Tamandua tetradactyla: one gene and its partners. The main gene of each other region encodes a partner of the protein of the gene in region 2 in a complex. Links are inferred from orthologs where the notes say so. Each region holds a gene or a part of one and is shown on either strand. Other genes may lie near its edges.

The links.
Region 1: BNIP1 (region 2) and VAMP7 share a complex: the UniProt entries of both Homo sapiens proteins name them as parts of the SNARE complex. The link is inferred for Tamandua tetradactyla from reciprocal best matches to the Homo sapiens genes BNIP1 and VAMP7.
Region 3: BNIP1 (region 2) and BET1L share a complex: the UniProt entries of both Homo sapiens proteins name them as parts of the SNARE complex. The link is inferred for Tamandua tetradactyla from reciprocal best matches to the Homo sapiens genes BNIP1 and BET1L.

Annotation. Positions count from the first base shown.
Region 1 is NC_135353.1:67,996-75,148, forward strand, and holds the start of VAMP7 (vesicle-associated membrane protein 7), read right to left. Parts: upstream 3,032-7,153; 5' UTR 2,894-3,031; intron 1-2,893. UniProt on the Homo sapiens protein: Involved in the targeting and/or fusion of transport vesicles to their target membrane during transport of proteins from the early endosome to the lysosome. Required for heterotypic fusion of late endosomes with lysosomes and homotypic lysosomal fusion.
Region 2 is NC_135346.1:54,590,210-54,597,542, reverse strand, and holds the start of BNIP1 (vesicle transport protein SEC20), read right to left. Parts: upstream 3,086-7,333; 5' UTR 3,041-3,085; coding exon 2,957-3,040; exon of another isoform or gene 2,615-2,956; intron 1-2,614. UniProt on the Homo sapiens protein: As part of a SNARE complex may be involved in endoplasmic reticulum membranes fusion and be required for the maintenance of endoplasmic reticulum organization. Also plays a role in apoptosis.
Region 3 is NC_135335.1:33,445-41,029, forward strand, and holds the start of BET1L (BET1-like protein), read right to left. Parts: upstream 3,054-7,585; 5' UTR 2,943-3,053; coding exon 2,924-2,942; intron 1,844-2,923; coding exon 1,752-1,843; intron 1,525-1,751; coding exon 1,468-1,524; intron 1,330-1,467; coding exon 1,162-1,329; 3' UTR 1-1,161. Other genes in the region: RIC8A (chaperone Ric-8A), read left to right, coding at 4,489-4,572, 4,766-4,813, 4,912-5,508, 5,941-6,029, 6,524-6,674. UniProt on the Homo sapiens protein: Vesicle SNARE required for targeting and fusion of retrograde transport vesicles with the Golgi complex. Required for the integrity of the Golgi complex.

The DNA of each region.
Region 1 (7,153 bases), on a different chromosome or scaffold from region 2:
TAACAAAAAAGCACAGTAGTGATGCACACTTCTCCTCAGTGGAGGCATTCAAGCAAAAGTTGAAGACAGCATCAGAGAACAGAGTAAGGGAAAAGACCAAGCCAACATTTTTCACACTGGAGTCCATGTGTTCTGAGGAATTTTTCAATTATGTATTGTTATTTTGTTAGTATTAAAGATGTATAAGTATATTCTGGACCATCTATATACATATCTCATAAATGAGTAATGGCACACAAGTCAGTGCCGCCTATGCATTCATGTCTGTGAAGGTATAGGTGCCAAGAAACCCTTTAAAGTGATGGTGCTTAATTTTTAATGTCTTGGAAGCAAGTCTAGCTGCTCTTAGGTTGGCATCCTAAAACCATAATAACAATTACAATTCAAGCACTCATGCATTCCTACTATGTTTTTCAAAATCAGTTACAGACAAAATTTATTTTTTGCAGTACTGATTGACAATTGAAAAATAGCTGCGTGGAATAAGATTATTTTAAGAATTGAGACTTTTACCTGATACTCTGAAAATGACAGTGTGGTATAATCACATTAATATATAAATTATCTTAGGCTAAGGAGAAAATAATACTCAAAGAAATGCTTATACCAAGTGGAAATCAAATGATGCCATAATGTGCTTCACGAACAAAGGTTGTGCAACAGTTCAAATACAGAAATGAAGTGGAATAATTAATTTATAATACATGGTAATACATTCAACACAAAAATCAAAAGAAAGTATTCTGCATCATCATTTATATTATTGCAAACGGATTTATTATGTGAATTCTTGCAACAATTCATTAGCAGAATGTTTCATAGGAAATACACAATGGGAAGTTTTTTTTCATTCTTATATTATGGGGTATATAATTATATTAATTGGCCCATCAACGTAACGGGGGGTGGGGGGTGGAGTTGAGAAAGGGTACCCAGGAAAGAGAAGGAACTAATTTTAGGAGGAAGCTATGGAACAAGAGAAAGCACCGAGGTGAGAACAAGCTAGAAAAGGTGAAGAAACTGCTTGATGAGATAGAATGGTCCACATTCAGTGAATGTGAAGGTTAGTGGATAAGGCTGACAGAGGCTTTGTATAAATTAAGTAATTTGGATTTAATCAAATGGAGTCTATTTCAGTTCAACACATACGTACTGAAGATTTTACTCTATGGCAGCCAATGTAGAAGACACTGGAGATATACAGATAAGTAAGAAAAGACCCCTATACTCACAAGTTCCACAGTACAATGGGATGGGGAAGACAGATATAAATAAATGCAATAAATTGAAATAAGTGAATAATCTAAGAATGTACACAATGAAAGTTTTGTGATTATCTCACCTTGGATGAAGAAAAAGGAATGCAGATATCAGCCTATTCATTAGGCATTCCCTCAGTATATTATTATGATTACTTTTCCTTGGAAGAGAGGTTAAAATGTCTACTTTACCCTCACAATGTTCTCAGTGCTCAGTACAGTGCACAGTATAAATATTCTCTCAAATATATATTGAATAAATGAGTGAATACTGAGCCTGTGGTTAAATATACTTGTAAATGATAGATTTATAGTCACTAGGCCCTGGAAAGAAGAATATTTTGATTACCAAACTATCTCTCTAAAATAAAGAAGTTGAGCTGATAGTAATCAAACCCTAACTCTTCTTTCTGGGTCTTAGGAGGAAATAAACCAATGAGAAATAAACCACCAATTCTGAAATAACAACCTTGGAGGAGACAGAAGAATGAAAAACAAATATTGCTATAATATGATAGACAAAAGAAAAGAAAGGACATTTATGAAAAGTCTGAAGCCTGATCACAGATCAGGTACTGTGTGTATCACAAATATTCTTCTAGGGTGATGCTCTAAGACTCAAGCTAATCCCTCTGTTAGGACAGGATCCCACTCTGTAAAATAAACCGTCTGTTTTATTTTGCATTAACCACCATATCATCTTGTTTATTCCTTTTTGTACCCCCCCCACGCCCCTGTCCCCAAAATACGGAAGCTCTGGAGAGCACTGACCTCTTTTGTCTTATTTACAAATATATCCCTAGCACTTAGAAAACTCTGTGGTGTATATGCGCTGTTCAATAAACATTTATTAAACGAATGAATGAATCTGCTCCAAGCCAAATGTATTCAAATGAGAAAGAATGCCCCAAACATGACAGCATCTTCTGGGATTAAGGGTGGGAAAATGGAAGTACAGGTAGTTCAGAGCAATTAATAAGACGGAAAGAAAAGGTCTTGATAATTGTTTATAGGGGTTCTGAGAGAGGGATATGTAAACCACTTACCAAGGAGTCTAGAATATAGAATTTGATAAATATTGACCATTAAAAATAATAATAGTAATAATAACAAACACATCTGACGCTCAGGAAGCCGATTTGGGCAAGAGATACAGAGTTCGTATTTGAACTGAAGAGGAAGATGAATGTCAACATTTGGTGGTGGAGGAGGGGCGTGAAGAGGGTTAGAACCCACTACTGAGCAGTAGACTTCCGAAGTAGAAGGTGAAGCAGAAGAGTGACGTCACCGAAGCAAGGGCATAGAGGCGATTTTAAAAGACTCAGGTGATTAAGAGATTCAAATGCTAAGGTGATGTCCTGGGAATGCTAACTGACAAAGTCAACATTTTCCTTCCTGTTAACAACAAATGAAGTGACACATTATGGCTTTCTTTAACCTGAGGATTTATCACAGGCATAAAACGCACTTCATCCAAACTGGATCTGCCCGACAATTCGAAATGTGGACCTCAGAGAATTCCGAGTCACCCTCCCATTGCCTCCTCACTCTACTTCGGTACCTTCCTGGCCACCCCCGCCTTCCCCTCTGCTGTCTAGTCCCCCACTTTGTTACTGAGCGCACCCTTTACGTACCTGTCCAGCGCCCTCTGCAAGAGCGCGGGTTCTGGACGTGGGGTAGCCAACTTTGAGCTCCCGAGGGAGGCTAGACCCCAATGCCGCCGACTTCCGTGTGAAGCGCCCCGCCCGCGCGCAGCCTCCTGGGAATGTGAGCTCTCTTCCAATGGGAGTCGTCAGCGGGGCAGGGCCTGCTGCTTTCCCTGCCCCTGCATTTCCCAAGAACCGGACTGCATTCTGGGAGTGTTAGTTCCGTCTTCCGTCTCTCTGAGTCTGTCAGGCGTTCGGTCAACAGTTCTGTCGTAACTGCTTACCAAGCGCCGAGCCAAGAGGGGAAAATGAGCGGCTGCAGGAGGACAGAAGGAGTCTATCAAATGGCGTTGGCGCGATAAATGAGAGGCTGGCTCGCCCCGCCGGAGCCTCGTTTACTTTCAGCGGAGAATGTCGCCTACTTCACAGACAGAAGAGCATTTATCTAACAAGAACTCCCTCTACTTTCGCCACTGTTTCCCAACCTCCTTGTATCCTTCACCTCTCCTTTCTCCCATTCTTTTGCAACAACAATAATCTACTCTTGATTTAAACACACCGCCCCTTACATCCGTATTTCCTCCTTCCAACTCATTTAATCCCTGTCTCCCGACTCTTAAACGGCTGCCTGCTTACACGCTCTTTATGATCAGCATTTAAAGATTGCCAGCATTTCTCTTATCTAAAAAAATTCCAGTCACCTTTCTCAAACCAACTTCCCCTAATGCCCTCACCACACAGACTTAAGCTAGTGGTCTTTCTCCCACCTCTCCTTCCCAGCCAAAATTCTCAATAGTGTTGCTAAAACCAATAGGCATTTTCAGCCATTATGTTACATCATCTCTGCAGGATTTTTACACTGTGGATTATTGCCTCCCTTTAAAAAGAAAATGTTTTTGGTTTTGCTTTTGCTTTAAAAAAAACGGTTTTTAGTGTGAAATATAACATATATACATTTAAAAAGGAATAAATTTCAGAGAACACCACAACAATTAGTTGTAGAACAGATTTCAGAATTTGGTATGGTTACCGTTCCACATTTTCAGCTTTTTCCTTCTAGCAGCTCCAAAACACTGGAAGCTAAAAGAAATATCATTATAGTGATTCAGCAGTCATATTCGTTTGTTAAATTCTATCTTCTCTGCTATAACTCCTTCTCCTTTGATTGTTCTCACAATCTTTAGGGATATTAGGGCTTTGCCCATTCTAACTTTTTCAGGTTGAAAGGCTGTCTTGACAATATGGGATAGGGAAATGGAATTATGTGATGTAAAAGCTGACCCCTCTGCATCTCGAGACTTAACTGGCCTAGGAACTCATCTGGAGGTTGTAAGTTTCTGGAAAGTAAACCCAGTGCATGGATCATTTGTAGAATCTCAGATAGAGCCCTAGATGTTCTTTAAGTTTGGCAGGAATCATGTTAGTCGGAATTTTGCAAATCCTGGTAATTAGCAATATCTAACTGAAACTTGCATAAGAGTAGTCTCCAGAATACCTCTCAACTCCATTTGAACTCTTTTAGGCACTGATACCTTATTTTGCTACATTTCTTTTCCCACTTTTAGACCAGAAGGCATTGTCGATCCCTCCATACCAGGGCCAGGCTCAACCCTGGAAGTCATGCCACATGTTTTCAGGGAGACTTTCACCCCTGAATGTCATGTCTCCTATGGGGTGAAGGTAATAATTTTCCTTGAAGAGTTGGGCAGAGAGAGAGAGAGAGAGAGAGAGAGAGAGAGGTGCCACATTTGAGCAACCAAAGAGATTTCCTGGAAGTAACTATTAGGCATAATTATGGGTAGGCTTAGCTTCTTCACTATAGAAATAAGTTTTATAAAGACAAGTCTCAAAATCAAGGGCTTGGCCTATACTGGGGGGGGGACTGCCTAATGTTCTAGAGAGTAGCAGGGGGTTCCCAGGTGGGAAAATTTAATATTTCCATATTTTTTTGTCCAGTCTCTCAAGGGACTCGACCAATACTTTTCAATTATCAACCTACCATTCTCTGGGATGTCTCCAGGTGTTACATTAAGCTATACAGAATTACAAGGCCTTGTTCCCATTCTGGGCTCCATGTGTTTGGATTGTCTAAATGAACCATCCAGACAGGTTGATTAGATTGTGTGTAACAGAAAATTTAAGTGCTAGACCCAATAAACATTTCTGCCTTTGGTCTCACACAATAGGTGAAGCTCTAGAGTACAAACACTATCATCGTTTACCCTGCATTCTGATTTACCTTAGTCCCAACAAGATCAGCTTCATTCTCATCTTTAATGGATGCCTGATCTCTTTTTTGGTTTCTTTAACTGTTGTTAAACAGTTGTATGTAGCCATGCTGAATTTCAGAGCTGCAGAACTACAGCTCTGAATCTTAAGTGTCACAGAAGTACTCAAAGTTCCAGGAAAATACCAATTTATACACATATGTCTCAGGATCAAAGAATCTACATATACACTTCAATTTTGTATTGAGTATGACTTCATGTTCTGCTTTTCTCTTCAACACACCCTGTATTCAAGCCTCTTCCTGTATAGTGTCATGCATTCATTTATTCATTCATCCATTCCTTCAGCAAATATGTGCTAAGTGCCTACTATGAGCAAGGTCCTGTTCTCGATGCTGGAGGTATGACAGTGAACAATACGAAAATGCCCCTGCCTTCATGGAGTTAACACTCAATACTACATACTTTTTAAAATACATTTTATTTTAGAATAATTTCAGATTTACAGAAAAATTGCAAAGATAGTGCATCAGTCAGGGTTCTCTAGGGAAACAACCAACAGGAGATATCTGTTAACATTATAAAATTTTATAAAAGTGTCTCACTCAATTGTGAGGATGCATGAGTCCAAATTCTGCAGGGCAGGCTGCAAGCTGGCAATTCTAATGAATGTTTTTGTTGAATTCCCCAGTAGAGGCTGGTTGACTGAAGTAGAGATAAAAATTCTCCCTTCTGACTGCTGAAGTCATCACTTCTCCTTTTAAAAGCCTTCAAATGTTTGGATTAAATGTCTGTCATTGCTGAAGACACTGCCTTTAGTTGATTGTACGTGTATTCAGCCATAAATGCCATCAACTTACTGATTTAAGTTCATAAAATATACTTGCAGTAACAGGTCAGTGCTTGCTTGACCAGACTACTGAGAGCCATTACCTGGCCAAGTTGACAAATGCACTGACCATCACAGTCCACCCCATGTCAACTTGGCAGCTATACCCATCATATTAAACCACACTTATCTCTAAATAAAAAACAATAGACACAACAATACTCAACTGTCCTGTGTACAACTGGAAATGCACTAAATAATTTCACATACTTTTATGCCTCACTGCCTTTGAACATGCTACCTACCCTGTCAAAATATTATTCTTCCCAATCTATTCCAAATATTGCTTCTTCATTTTCCAGAACAGCTTATGCTTCTTTTTCATCTCCATTCATCCTTTGCAAAGGTTTACCTTTATATTAACATTAATTCAATTTTATTTGATACCATTTCTTTGAGAAGCAACAGAATATTTTTGAAAGAGAATAACTTTTGAAAGTAGACAGACCTGAGTTACTAGCTGTGTGGATGGTAAATGATGACTCCATTAAGAGCTTTCAAGGCTCTATCAAATGCCCTCTTCTTACTCCATACTTTTTCTTAAAATGATCTCATCCATGCTACAAAATTTATGGTTCTAGTACAAGCCTTTATGTTGGAAAACCACAGAAGGCCTCTCTGAGCAGGTGACGTTAAAACTGAATTCTCAATTACAAGAAGCCAAGAGGGAATAGAATCCCAAGCAGAGAGAGCTGGGACAAAGATTGTAAAGTGGAAAGAAGCTTGATATATTTGAGGAACAGAAAGAAGATCAGTGTCACTGGAGAAGAGTGGAAGTGAGGAGATAGGGGCAGAGGGATAGTTAGGGAGTCTTGCAGGGATTTGTGAAACAGGAGGAGTTTGGATTTTGTTCTAAGTGTAATGGGAAATTATTAGGTTCGAGTAGGGAAGTGATATGATCTGATGTATGTTTTAAAAAAATTATCTGGCTTTATTTAGTATGGTAATACACCATCTATCCTGCTAATAAATTAATATGTACAGTTAGCAAAAGTGAATATTTTCCAAGAAAAGTGCTTCTGGATGCATACTTCTATACATCCTCAACCTAGCAGAGAGTGAATGCTCAAGAAGAGTTCATTGAAATAATGCTAACTAATAACAGCTAACACAAAACTTGATACCAAACAA
Region 2 (7,333 bases):
TTTTTCTTTTTTCTTTTTCTGGAGTGATGCAATGTTTTAAAAATGACTATGGTGATGAATACACAACTACGTGATGATATTGTGAGCCACTGATTGTATACCATGTATGGACTGTATGTGTGTGAAGACTTGTCAATAAAAAAAAAACAATTTTAGACTTTTCCAACTTGAAAACCATGATGCTCAAATTTCTGGCATCACATGAAAAGATTAACTTCCTTCAGTTTGATTTTATAAACTATCTATGAGGAATCAAAGTATTTACAGATATCTTCCCTTTTTTTTTGGATGCATGGTCCAGGAGTTGAACTTGTCAGCTTCCTCATTACATTAAGGACCTCAGAGATTATGTACATATGTGAAGCAGTTAGTAGAGTGACAGGAACACTGTAATAGTGTAATACATCTAACTATAATCAATCTTTCTCATTAGCTACCACAGGAACCCAAATGTTAAGAGAGTATAAAACAGAGCAATTGAATGATGTCAAAAGGTAATTTCATTTGTATGAACCCTAAATTTATTTTTCTAAGATTGCTCAGAAGTTTGCAGTTTACACATGGGAGAAGTAACATTTACGAAGTTCAAGCGTCTGCATGGTTTCCTCACTTTTTTCCTTAGTTTAGTCATTAAACCACATTTCCTTGCACCGCGTGTTAAACCACTAATTTGGTTTATTCTGTATCTGGTCTACTGGGGAAGCTCTATTTTCCATTACTTTTGTCACAGCTCGTTGCAAATTCAGAGCTTACATCTAATATTCGATGACATTTGTTGCAAAGGAAAATGGTTTGCTTAAAATTAAGGCTTAAAACCCTTGGTTTTGGTTCCTGGTGACTGCCCATGCAAACAAACAAATAAACAAACAAAAACAAAAAAACCCTTGGTTTTTTTGCTAAACTTATGGAACCATTCCCACATTCCCAACTCTTGCCTATGTTGACTGATTTATTGCACCACTGCCTTTTTAAATGGGAGTTTAAGAGCCCTGATTCTATAGAACTATTAAACATTACCATCATGGAATCCCCTGATACTGTGTCAAACTTTAGGGACACCCAAATCAATAGGTCATGCCCTTGATCCTGAGGCTTACTCTTGTGAAGCTTATGTAGGTAGAAGAAAAGCTTCAACTACTTATAGGCATGGCTAAGAGGTACTTCTGGAGGACCTCTTTTGTTGCTTAGATGTGGCCTCACTCTCTCTAAGCCCAACTCTGCAAGTGAAATCATTGCCCTCCCCCTACGTGGGACATGGCATTCAGGGATGAAAGTCTCCCTGGTGACATGGGAGATGACTTCCAGGGATGAGTCCAGCCCTGGCACCATGAGATCAACAATTCCATCCTGACCAAAAGGGGGAAAAGAAGTGCAATTAATAAATTATCAGTGGCTGGGAGAGTTTAAATAGAGTCAAGAGGCTACTCTGAAGGTCACTCTTACGCAAGCTTCAGTTAGACATTGCTACCTATCATAACTTGCCATACCCTAACCAAAACCATTTCAACCAATCCTAAAGAACACCTAGGGCAATATATAAAATTCTACAAAGGTTCCATGCACTAGGGTAACTTTCCAGAAACCTACAGCCTCCAGATGGGTCCAGATAAGTACTGAAACCTAGCCCAGCCTCTCCAGAACATCAGATAGTTCCATCTCCCTACCCCATATTAGTGACAGACTCTTCCAATATGAAAAATTTAGAATTGTCATGTCCTACCCACCCCTAAAGAAAGGGATGGAAAGATCAATGGTGATGGTGGAGTTTTACAGAGACAATAGGATTTAACAAATGAATATGAATGCTGAATCATTAAATTGATGTCTCTTTTAGTCTCCAGTATTTTAGAGCAGCTAGCTATAAGTAAAAACCTAAAATTGTGGAATTGCAACCCATGTCAAACTCTGAAATATGTTCTACAACTAATTGTGGAGCTGTGCTTTGAAATCTATAGCTTTTTTTACATACATTATTTTTCACCAAAAAAAAACAGAGGGAAAAAAAGTCAATTGTGATGATTAAAAAAACTTAAGCCCTGTAGCCTCCTATATTCTGGAGCAGCTAGAAGGAAAAATATGAGAGGATCGTATGGTAGCTCATGAAAAACTCTGGAATCTGTCCTGTAACTACTTGTTGAAGAGTGCTTTGAAAACGACTGCTTTTTTCTTTCTTTGTTTTGTATATATGTTATATTACACAATAAAAAAGTTTTTAAAAAATTTAAAAAAAAGAACCCTGATTCTGGCTTAAGGCAAAATCCCTCAATTTCCCCATTTACTAAATAGAGGGGAGGAGACTCTCAAGATCCTTCCATAGGATGATTTTCCCTGTCCGGATCCCAGTTTTGACACTATCTGCCTTCTGATTCAGGCCTTAGCGCTTTACTCAATTTCCTCCTTTAAAAAAATCACATCTTGGGTCCAGGCTACACTCATTTCATCCGGCATGTCCCTTGTCAAGTGCGCTTCGGGATCACGGGGCACCAGACCCAGCAAGGCAGGCCGGCAGGGGGCGGCGCTAATAGCCTCCCGGACCCTAAGAAGTGGAGGATGGAGGCGGGCACCGGGAGGCGGGGCCTAGCAGCTAGAGGGAATAACAGAGTGACAGGTGTGTTGTGAGGTGTTCAGGGGCGGGGCAACTATCAGGGAAGACGTGGAAGGGACCAAACGGGGGTTTCAAAAGGGATGTTGAGGCAGGGTACACAGAAGTGACTGCGTCAGAAGAAGGAGTCTTAGGGGTGGCAGGAAAGAGGGCGAATCAGCGGTACCCGGATGCAAGATTAAGGCCAACTGTCACGGGGACTGGACCACAAGAGGGTAGACGACCACGGGGCGGGGCCAAAGGCCTCGGAGATTAGACCAAGTGTTAACAGTTCAGGGCTGAGACCGCCAAACCCCCAGGAGGCCCGCGGAGCTTGGGTGGCTGGAGCCCAGCAGGGTTCCCGGGAATTAGTACCTGGATAAGCGCCTTCACCTCCAGGTCGTATTTGACAATCTCTTGATTACAGATCCGGACGTGGACATCTTGAGGAGCCGCCATGTTCGGGACGCGGGCTACGGGCGTTGATAGTGGCCAAATATAAACGCGTTTGGCACCGCCTTCTCTCCCTCCCCTTGCGGCAGCGCCCCCTAGAGAGCGGCTTGAGCCGAGCCGGGGACTCCGCGCGGAACGGTAAGGGCGGGGTGAGAAACCGAGGTGGGCGCGGGAACGTCCAGCGCAGAATCCTGAGCGGTTCGCCCAGGAACTAAGACGTCGCCCGACATCTGGGGAAAACCAGCCTCATCTCTTGCAATGACCAAAATAAGATAGAGAGGAAGGGAAGAGGGACTACATACTGCTGGCTTAGGAAAACTAAAAAACTGAAAGAAAAATATCAATTAGGATGGCCTGGGGGGGGAACGAATAATTGCTTATATTTCTTAAAATTTTTTTGTACTTTTCACACGTTCTACAGTGAGTATAAATTGTAGAGTACGTAAAAGAAAATGATAAACGTTATTCTTTTATTAATGTGTGGAATTCAAGGCACTTCATTCGTGTACCTCTTGTTTTTCCAACCCACAGCTCGAGGGGTCTTTCTAAAACGCAGAACTGATCGAGGCACTTCCCTTCTGTGGTTCCTGACGTTCCCTTTTGCGTACGATTGGATTTATTAAATCGACCTCACTGGAGTAGTTTTGATGGATTTAGCAAAATATTGTAAGAGCAGGCCCTCAACAAATAGTGGCACTCACATTTTATTTTTATTATTACTAAATAGTCCAGGTTTCTTAGCGAGCCCTCAAGGCTGACGGCCATCACCCTATCCCCCATTCCTGGATTCCTCAAGCTCTTTTTGGACCTGAAGCCTTGGAACATGGTATCCTCTTCCTAGAATGCCTAGAATTGGCTAAGAGTAGATTAGAAACCTGCTGCAAGGTTACCCGAATTGAAAGTGGCAGGGTCTTCACCAAAAGCCACAGCTTTGCTCAAAATCACATATGGCTGCTTGGGTAGGGCTGTGCAAACCAGGCTTCGTGCTGGTCCACCGTGCTCCTTCAGCTCTGGGCACAGCCCTCCCTTAAGGGGAGCCCTTCATCACCTCACTGCACCTAAAGGAAGCAGTGTAAAGTAGGCCTGGGCATTGCCCACTCACATTCCTCTGTGCCTCAGTTTCCTCAGTGGTGATAACCCTAGCAATTACTTCACAGGGTAGGTTTGATGATTGAGATAACATGAAAAAAAGCACCACTGCATTTGCCTGGTATAAGAGATGCAAGCATGTTAGCTCCTATTATTATATTACTAGATGACTTTTTTTTTCTAGTACTTTCTACTCAGCCAGGCTCTGAGTACTAAGTACTTTATGTGTATCATCTCCTGGTAACCCTCACTGTAACTCCATGAGGTAGAGCTTTTATAGACTTTACACATTTTACAGATAAGGTAAAGGACAAAAATGCATAATAAGTTGCCCAAAGCCACAGAGCAAATAAAACTTGCCAGGTCAAAGAACATATGCATTTTAAAAATCCGATACATGCTACCAAATTGTTCTGCATCAGGGTAGTATCAATTTACACTCCTACCAGTGAAGTGCTAGTAGAAATGCCTGTTTTCCCACATGGTGTGTTAACCAACATGTGAATTAAGTGAAAAATGCATCTTTTGATTTGCATTTCTCCTATAATGATTGAGGTTGAGGCCTTTTCCCTATGTTTAAAAGCTATTATTTATCTTTTGTCTGCTTTTCTATTGGGTTTTTGGCCTTTTTCATATTAATTTCCAGGAACTCTTCATGTATTAGGAGGCTATCCTTTAGAGATGTTGCGAAGCTTTTTTCTTAGTCTACAGAATATTGACTTGGTTGACAGTGCTTTTGACCATAAACTGGTTTTACTTTGACCATAAACTGGTTTAAAACCATAAACTGGTTTTAAAACAAAAAAGTAAAAAAGTGTTTTTGTTTTACGTAGTGGAATTTACTTATCTACATTTATGGCTTCTGGATTTGGGGTCCAAGTTAGAAAGGCCTTCCCTAACCCTGGAGGTTTAAAGGAATCCTCCCACATTTCTTTGTAATGTTTTTATGGTTTCGTTTTTTCCTTTTAACATTTAGCTTTTAATCCATTTTGAAATATATATTGGCTTGTTTTGTGAAGTATACAGATCCAATTTTACTTTTCCTTGATGTTATCGAGTTATTCCCATACTATTTTTTTTATAATGAAGGTTTATTACCAATACTAATAAAAGTCTATTTTTATTTCCCCAAGCTCCATATACATATTTCTTTCATAATTATGAGCTTAAAAAAAGATGTGAAAATGTGACCCATACTATTTACTGAAGAATCCATCTTTTTCTCACTGGTTCTGAATGCCACGTTTACTATACTAAATTTTCATATATATTTGAGCCTATTTCTAAATTTTCCATTCTGTTTTATTCTCCTATCTATTCTCTCATGCACCAACATTACACTGTTTTAATTATACTTTTATGTTTAAATATCTGGTAGGACTAAACATCCCCCTCACTTTTTTTTTGTCCCAGCAACTTCCAGCTACTCCCCTCTCCCCACCCCACAGGAACTTTAGTTTTGCTTTTCAGACCCTACTAGAATGTGTCATTGGGGTGACACTACATTTTTTATCTCACTTAGGAGGACTGACAGCTTTATGATGCTGACTGCTTCTGCTGAAGAACTTGGCATATCGTCCCATTTATTCAAGTCTCCTTCTGAGTCCTTTATAGTATCTTAAATATTTCTTTATCGAGACCTTGTACATTTTCTGCTAACTTTATTCCTGGTGATGTTAAGATTCAAACCTTTTGAGGAAACTGAGGTTAACATTCTTCAGGCCACTTCAATATTTTGGATCCCAAATGGAAGCTCCCTATTAAAACAGCAGAGAAGCCTGAAAGCCTGCAAGGTGAGGATCTCCCCACATGACCTTGGACCCCTTTCACATCATATTTTTTGCTCTAAACTCCTAATGCCAGCAATAGTTCCCAAATTGCATCTCTAGGCAGCAACTAAAGATTAAGAAAACAGCTCCCACCTAACAAAGAGACTCAATTTTAAGTCCTCCTTCTCAAGGCCATCTTTGCAGAAGAGGTGTGCCATCTTGTGACCAACACCCTCAATCACTGACTACTCCCAATGTTTTCTCCCCCCCCACCCGTCCCCCACCTGCCCCACTGTCATCTTTATCCACTCATTCCTGAGACTTTAGTTAAAACTTTTGCTAGGCTTTGGCTTTAGTTCCTTCTGGTTTTCAGATTCATCCTCCTAACTTTAAAATATCGTCTGTGACTTAGTCTAGTGCTTTAGATACGAGTTATTTCAGACTGGAGTTTGAGTTGGGGCTCTATATCATATTAGCTGGGTCTGGGGCAAGTGACCTCCTCCAAGTCTAATCTGATTCCTGTGGTTAAAATGGATGTGACTACCTGCCTCACTGGGCTGTTGACAGTAGCAGCTGAGGCTTCTGATGGGCAAGCAGCTATGGGGGTCTTAAAGAATGTCACCCCTAGAGCCCAGAGTTTTCTAACATCTTCCTATTCTGAACCTTTTTTTTTCTTTTGTACAGGCAGGCACCAGGAATTGAAACCAGGTCTCCAGCATGGCAGGCAAGAATTCTGCCACTGAGCCACCGCTGCACCACCCTTATTCGGAACCTTTTAACTGGGCTGAGACTAAAGAGTTCATATGGCTCTGAGATCACTAGCAGTGAAAAGAAACAACTGAATGACCCATCTAGGAAGGCAGTACACGTTGAAGTGCCATTTCTAGGCACTATACTAACCTTAAAGTTCCCAGGACCACAGCAGAGGATCCTGTGAGTGGCCCTGAGAGGCCTGAAGTAGAACCAGACCATGGGAGGCCACGTCCACTTTGCTTCCTGATGACCCCCATGCACATGAAGCCAAAAGGGCTTCTACAGGGATCCAGGAACATCAAGAACACAAGATTGGCAACTGGATATAGTACCTGTATCTTTGAAAACACCTCCGCTACAGTAATTCTACAGCCCTTGGCATATGTGTGGCAGCTCTTGTATTGTTCTGCAGTCCTGTTCACATGCCATCTCCTTCAGCAGAAAGAGTTCCTGGAGGGCGCTATAAACTCTGTATTCAGGTACCCAGCACAAATCCTGGCACAGTAAGTGCTAAACAAATGTTAGCTGAAGGATTACATACTGCTACAGTGGTATTCACTCAGGTTCCCTGCTGGAAGACTTTATACATATGCCTGGCCTAGCTCGGGGCCTTATTTTGAATTATTAAACAAACACATACAAAAGTTTAAATCAGGAGACCCAAAATATTTTATTTTCCTCCAAGAGA
Region 3 (7,585 bases), on a different chromosome or scaffold from region 2:
GAAGTGAGTTCGCAGGGCTGAAGGCTGCATCGAGGCTGTGGGAGCTGACTGCAGCAGGCTATGGCAGACAGCCGGTTTAGGTTTCAGAGACAAAGCCTTCTAAGCTGGACAAACTCAGAAAGAGGCCTTGCAAGTGGGTGAACTGTGAGTCAGGGCCTCACAGAGTGGCCAGGAAGGCAGAAGATGAATCAGATAGGACAGGGGAGGGTCCCAAGCTCAATGGCTTGGTCTTAAAGGCATTGGGTCTGACCTGTCCAGGGTTGGTGTGATGGTGGAGAGAGTACGCAGTGGGAAATGAGGGCCCAGGGAGGGCGGTGGCTCAGAGATACATGCACTCAGGAGGAAGGGTCCCTCACAGTGGGAGGAAGGGCAGGGTTTGGTGGAAGAATAAGTTAACCACACATGGCTGGCAACCCCTACAGGTGACAGAGGCAGCAGTGTCCTGTGAAAAGCAGGTGGAAGGCCTCACCCATACTCAGCCACTCCTGGAGGTCTGGTCTCGTGGAACCCATCTGCAAGGCTGGGTAAATGCACACCCTGAGTGTGAATTCCTGCTCTGAACAAGCCCAGAAGCGCTTAGGGCTCAGAGCCTCTGTATCCACAGGCCCCAGGGTTTGGCTCCAGCTGCCCTCTGTCTACCCCAAGGAGGGAAATGAGCGTGAGCACAGAGGGTACTGGGGGAGGAGCTGGCCTGCATTGGTGTGACCTTGCCCAGGCAGCCTTGGCCAAGAGCAGCTGCTGTTGGAGAGGGTGGGCCAAAGAGATAGCGCTGTTTCAGGTTTGAAGGTAGAGTCACTTTTCATGCCAGCCTCATGCTGCACAAATCACACACATGGCCTTGCTCAGAGGAAACGGTAGAGGAACCTTGAGACGCCTGAGGGCTGGGAGAGGGGCTGCCAGCACAGTGCTATGTGTCTTCAGGCTCCAACCAGGGACTGGAGGACGCTGGGCCTCCTTTCCCCAGGGAAAGTGTCCCTTCCGTGGATGGGACCAGCCAACAGATGCTCATGTCCAGAACAGGAAGAAGACCTCTGACCCACAATCGTAAATTCAAAGGAATGTTGTAGGGAAGTGCTCCGGAGCCCAGGAGCCCAGGTGGGGCACAGGGTGGCCCTGGCTGGCCCCAGCACCCGCAGTGGCAGCTCGCCCACCCCCGCTCGCTCACGTCCGCGCCCTGGACAACAGGTAGGAGAGGATGAAGAAGGCCACAATCAGGGCCACAGCCACACTGCACAGAAGCTTCCGGTTGTCTCGCCCAGACCGTGCCATTGTGGAGAAGCGCTTCACACTCCCAGTGAGCAGACCCGTCATGCTCATGAAATCTGAGTCCTGAGGGAGGAATCCCAGTACTGTTACACGCGCTGGCACCTCCACACCCACCTCTGCTGGTGCCCAAGAACAGTGCCCGACCCCAGATGGTGTGGGCCCAAGCTCAGCAGGGCACCCTAGAGCTTCAAAGGCTCTTACCATGCCATCCAGGTACCGGTTCTGGTCTTCTGCATCCCTATCAATGTCCAGGGCAAGCTGGCCAGGGCACAGAGAGGGCAGGTTCAGGCCAGGCCAGACATGGGGCAGCACCCTTCCTCCCCCAGGACCAGCCAGAACAAACGCCACCCTCACCAAACACGAAGGTCAGAAAATGCCCCCCAGGCCTCAAGTAGCCAGCAAGGAGAATGGAAAGCAGCCTGGAGCCCCCCAAGCTGCACCCTCCTGGGGGTCCTGCTCCCAAGAGAAAGGAGACCGCCACAGACCGATTTGAGCCTGGTGACCTTGGAGGCCAGGTTGTCGGCCATCCGCTTGTTGTCCCGGTCCAGAATCTCCTCCACGACACCGGGGCTCTGAGCTGTAGAGACAGGCTGAAGTTGTGCATCCACCCATGAGCACAATCCCTGACCCTCAGACCACAGAAAGTTGGCCCTTTGTGGCCTCAACCCCATCTGCCTCAGTCTGAAGTCTGGGCAGGGGTGGGGGCTGGGTCTCCACCTGTAACCCGCTGGGCAGGGACAGGTTTGTGGCCCTTGTGTTTGTGCAACAGTAAACAACCACGTGGGAGCATGTCCCCTGTACACATGCAGGATGTGTGGCTTGCCCTCTGGGGTGTACCCCAACAGGTTCAGCCCATCCGGCACGCCAAGCCAGACAGGACTAATCCCAGGGAGGCAGTGAGACGCAGTACCTGCCTGCAGCAAGGTTACCATGCATGTACCTCCCGCCTGTCCTGGGGAGGGCCCAGGGAAGAGCACTAGCTCAAGGAGGACAGCCGCGAGGGCTGTGTGGGCGTAACCTGTGACCTGGTCCTGAAAAAGTAACCGATAACCAAGGGCAGGACATCGGGGAGGCCCTTCTATACGGAGAAAAGGAAGCGAGCAAAGTTCCCTAACCAAAATGTGGGCAGGGTCCAGCCCCGAGGGCAGGGCCTAGGTTTGCTCACCTATGTCCCCACAGCACCTCCCAGAACAACGAGGGCACGGTGCGAGACCCGCCCGGTAACTCCGGCCAACCCCATTCCCCGCTGCACACCCGAACTGGACCAGTGGCGTGAATGTATCACATTCGGTGGGTGAGACTCGCCCTCCACGGGGCCGATACCCTGAGAGTCCGAGGCCTTAGGAATCTCTGACTCGTACAGACCCGGAAGGAAGGGGCGGCTGCGGAAAGGCGCCCCGTTGTGCCAGGCATTGTGCCACGCACCCCGCCAACGCCTTCGCGTCCGTTCCCTCCTTCAGTCGTCACGACAGCCCAGGAGAGCGGGAGCGGCACCCGGCCGGACCCTCCCAGGCCTCCGGCGGCGAGGGGGGACGCAGCCACGTATCCTCGGCGGGGCGCTGACTGGGGGCTGTCCCCTCCCGCCGACGGGCGCCCGGGGTCGGATCCAACCCCGGCCCGTCCCGTCCCCCGGACCCCCGGCCCACCCCGCGCTCACCCCGAGCCCAGTCCGCCATCGCGTCCAGCGCCGCCGAGGACGTGGCGCGGGGTCGCGGGGTCACGGCGTCGCAGGGTCACGGGGAGGGACTTCCGGCCCCGCCCCTTCTGCCGCCGCGGGCGCGGAGGGACTGAGGAGTCCGACGTTTGTTTCATTGTCAGTGGACCCGGGACGACCTGGACCCCGCACTTGGGAGCCCTTGCGCCATTCGCTTTAACGTCGAAATGTCTTTTCTCTCGGTTATTCAGGCGAGGTTAGGTCCTAAGAAGTGGGAGGAGCGCCAGCGCCTTTGCCGGGGCGCGGTGTTGGCGCACGAGTTCGCCGCCCCACTCGGCCTCGAGTGACCTGGGGAATTTAACCTTCGTGCATTTTAGTTCCCGAGTCTGTAAGGCGGTTTCCTCGTTTGAACTTAGACCATTGCCTGGAACAAGTAAACCTGAATAAGTGCTTTAAAAATAAAATGCAGATAAGTAACAGTGAACCAAGGAAAAGGGTTTGGGGAAGGGGCAGCGGAGACAGTAGGAACCAGTGTTTCCTGCTTTTGAATCCTGGTACCAAGGGCCTGGCATGACAGATGTGTGATAAAAGAACAGAGAGGTGGGTGAGTAGTTTGTATTTATGAATTACTCACCGCTACGAGGTATCTTCTGTGTGTCAGTTACGAGTGCCTGTAATCCTCAGTGCAACCCCTTGAAGTGGACACTTTCCCCTCTGCTTTACAGAAGAGGACACGAACTCTGAGCTAGAGCGCGTTTCAGGGTTTCACAGCTCGGAAGTCGCTGCACTTACTCCGGCCCTGCGTTCACCCCCGACCTCTGCCAACCGAGCCGTTCCTTCTGCCTGGAGTGGCCTCCCCCAAGTCTTTTCACGGTCCCCTATCGTGAGCATCAGGTCTCATCAGAAGTAGCACTTCCCTAGAGCCTTCTGCCGACCCCCCGCAATTGGGGACAACAGCAGCCTGTTGTTTTTAAAACCACAACGCTTAGGACCACGCAGAGTCGTCTTGTCTGTCTTTCCTTGTCCGTCTTCCCCTCTGGAACCAGCTCCAGGACGGCAGGGTCTTCCTGACCCGCGTCCCCAGCGCCTCGCCTGCAGCAGGCGCTCCACGACGCCGGTTTAGTAAACCAAAGGCTCTGAGACCGCAAAGCCCTCTCCGCTGGCGCTTTCCTCCTCCATCCCACTCATTCTGTGGATAAAGATGGGGGGATCGGGAGAGTTCTCCTTTTGAAATTCCGGCCCAAGAAGCGCACGAGGGAGGGGTCACGGTTTGGCCAAGGGGTGACTTGGGCCCCAAGCCGGCGGGTCCCGGAGTCGGGGCTTCAACGCCAGCGCCGTTCCGGGTCCACCTTAAACCGCGCACCTTAAGCGGCGCGCGGCCTCGCCCCGCCCCCCGCGCGTGCCGGCCCCGCCCCGCCCCGTCCCGGCCTCCCCCGCGCGCCGGACGCGGGCTGCCCGAGGCAGGGCGGGGCCGCGCGCGGGCTGGACTCGGGCTGGACTTGGGCCCCGCCGCGGCGCGACGTCCCCCCTGGCTCGCGGCCGGAGCCTTCGGGCGTCCTGGGGGCGCCATGGAGCCCCGGGCGGTTGCCGACGCCGTGGAGACGGGGGAGGAGGACGTGATCGTGCAGGCTCTGCGGACCTACAACCGGGAGGTGAGCGCAGGCGGCGGACGTGGGACGTGCATGGGGCGGCGAGGGGCGCGGGACGGTGCCCGGGGTGCACGCGGCGGGGACAGGTGCGCGGCGGGGCGCGTGCAGGCCCCGCCTGGGTCAGGCAGCCCCCCCAGTGCGCGGCCCCGCCCTGTCCGGGGTCTGCGCTCCGAGAACCCTCCCGGTGTCTTTGCAGAACTCCCAGAGCTTCACGTTCGACGAGGCTCAGCTGGACGACAGGAAGGTGGGTGGCAGCGGTAAAGGGCAGGGGCCGGGGGTCCTAGGAGGCGCCGTGGGGAGGGTGTTGGGGCTCCGGGCAGCCGCCCTTTCATCTGCTCACAGAAACTGGCGGAGCTGCTCGTCTCGGCCCTGGAGCAGGGCTTGCCGCCCTCCCACCGCGTCACCTGGCTGCAGAGTGTCCGCATCTTGTCCCGGGACCGCAGCTGCCTGGACCGGTTCACCAGCCGCCAGAGCCTGCAGGCCCTGGCCCGCCATGCCGGCATCTCAGCCCCCGAGGGCTCCGCCCTCAAGGCCCCGGGTGCGGATATGGACGTCGTGCTGGAGTCCCTCAAGTGCCTGTGCAACCTTGTGCTCAGCAGCCCCTTGGCGCAGCAGCTGGCAGCCGAGGCCGGCGTGGTGGTGAGGCTCGCCGAGCGCGTGCGGCTCTCCCGGGAGAGGAGCGTCCCACATGATGTCCAGTTCTTTGACCTGCGGCTCCTCTTCCTGCTCACGGCTCTGCGCACCGACGTGCGCCAGCAGCTGTTTGAGGAGCTACAGGGGGTGCGCCTGCTGACTGACACGCTGGAGCTGACCCTCGGGGCAGACCCCGAAGACTGCGCCCCTGAGTGCCTCCCGCACCAGGAGACTGAGCGGGCCATGGAGGTCCTCAAGGTGCTTTTCAACATCACCTTTGACACCACCAAGAGGGAGGCAGACCAGGTGAGGCCCGAATCCTAGGCCCCGCGACATGCCAGGAACCTAAACGGATCTGGCGTCAGGCATAGAGAGGTTAGGGGAGGCCAAGGAGGGGCTCCCTCCCAGGAGAGAGGCATCTGAGGGAGATAGCTGTTCCTGGGTCTGGAGGTCCAGGTGCCACAGGGTGTGTGGTGTGATGGCAGGCTGAAGGAAACAGCCACTGCAGAACCGTGGGTGTGGACATCTGCAGCCACAGAGTCTTCAGGAAAATGGCACTGGTCGGTCAGCCTCACCACCCAGCAGGGTCGTTTAGGAGAGTACAAAGGCAGCTGTGTGGCAGTCAGAGCCACTGGTTCTCTGGACCTGCAGCCTTGTGTTGGAGGAGGGGCAGGGTGGTAGAGCATGCCTTCAGCTGGCAGCAGCCGCCTTCAGGGATCTGCTCTTCTCTCTGGTCAGGACACTGCCCTTTACCGACACCTGGGCACCCTTCTGCGGCGCTGTGTGATGGTGGCTGCTGCTGGAGACCGGACTGAGGAGTTCCAGGGGTGAGGGCAAGGCTCTGGGCTGGGAGCTGTGTGTGGGGTGGGGGGAGCTCTGTACTTGGCCATGTCTGGCTGGGAGGGGGCCTGTTGTGGGATTGGGGTGCTTCTCAGTCTTGGGTATAAATAAGAACCACCTGGGAGCCCCATTTCCCTTCTTGGAGTCTGAGTTCGCTCCTCTGATGGGACTAGCAAAGTTATTCATAACACCCAAGACCAAAAGCTGTCAGTCTGGCAGAAGGGCATGCCAGCCTGGACCTTGGTGTCAGCAGATCAAGATTGTCACTTGCCGCCATTCTCCATGACCTACTTCCCAGAGAATGTCCATGGCGTGAGGCAGCCAGCCCAGACAGAGGGGTGGGACAGGCAGGGCTTCTCCTGCTTAGCAGGAACAGGGGACCTGGCTGGTGCTGCCCTCTGGCCCCCTGACACTGGCTCACATCGCATGTGGCCCAGCAGGGCAGGCACCTGCCCACCCTCACCTGCACCCCGGTCTGCAGCCACACAGTCAATCTCCTGGGGAATCTGCCTCTCAAGTGTCTGGACGTCCTGCTCCCCCCGGGGCTGCACGAGGGCTCCCTCGAGTTCATGGGAGTGAACATGGATGTGGTTCGTGTGCTCCTGGGCTTCCTGGAGAAGCGCCTGGACCAGGTGGGTAGGCGACCGCGGGACCCTGGCCTTTCTGTGCCGCGGCTCCGTCGTGGTCCTCCCCGCAAAGCTTGCACACCCTTCCTCTTGAAGCCTTCTGTTCTGATGACTGCAAGGATGCAGATGGCAAAACAGCCTGTTTTCAGAGTCTCACGAGTACTCGTACTTGTGCTTTAGACCTTTGGGGCGATACCTTGGGAGCTCCTGGGAAGGCCCCAGTCCCTGCTTGAGTTCCTCAGACTTGTAGATTCGCTGTGTACAGGCAGCTAACCCATCCATGGCTCCTACTTACAAACATCAGTGTCCTTGGCTGCCGTCTCCCACCTCTCCCCAGTATCCCTGGAACCACAGGAATCTCTGGGCAGGCCTGACAGGTCGAGTCCCTGCTGCAGATGAGGATGGGCACATCCTCATCCCACCCCCTGCATGGCACATGGCACTGGAACAGGTGCCCTTTGTCCTTGCTGCTACGGCTGCTGGTTTGTGGCCAGAGAAGTGACTGGAGGTACTGGGAGGAAAGGGAGTTTTGCTGTCTGTCAACAAAGCCCATAGCTCTGAGGCACCCCTGGCCAAGGGGCGAGTGGAAAAGCTCTTCCTCGGTCTGAAACATCTCAGGAACTGCCTTCTTCCTGTTTTCTATTTATAAATAAAGCATTTAAATGACTGTTTGAAATCAACTAAGACATTACTTTAAAAAAATGAGAAAAATCAGGAACATAGATGTTTTCATAAAAGATTAAAAATCCACATGAAGGGCAATGCAGATCCTTTGGGCAGCAGAGTAGTTAGTGTCTGGCCGAGAGGTGCATCCGCGTGTCCCTGGGGATCACAGCCACCTGCTCTCGGCCCCTCATCTCACTAACGGCAGCTGCGTGCTGGGAGGGGCAGGGCTGGGCGGCTGCCAGGTGATGGTG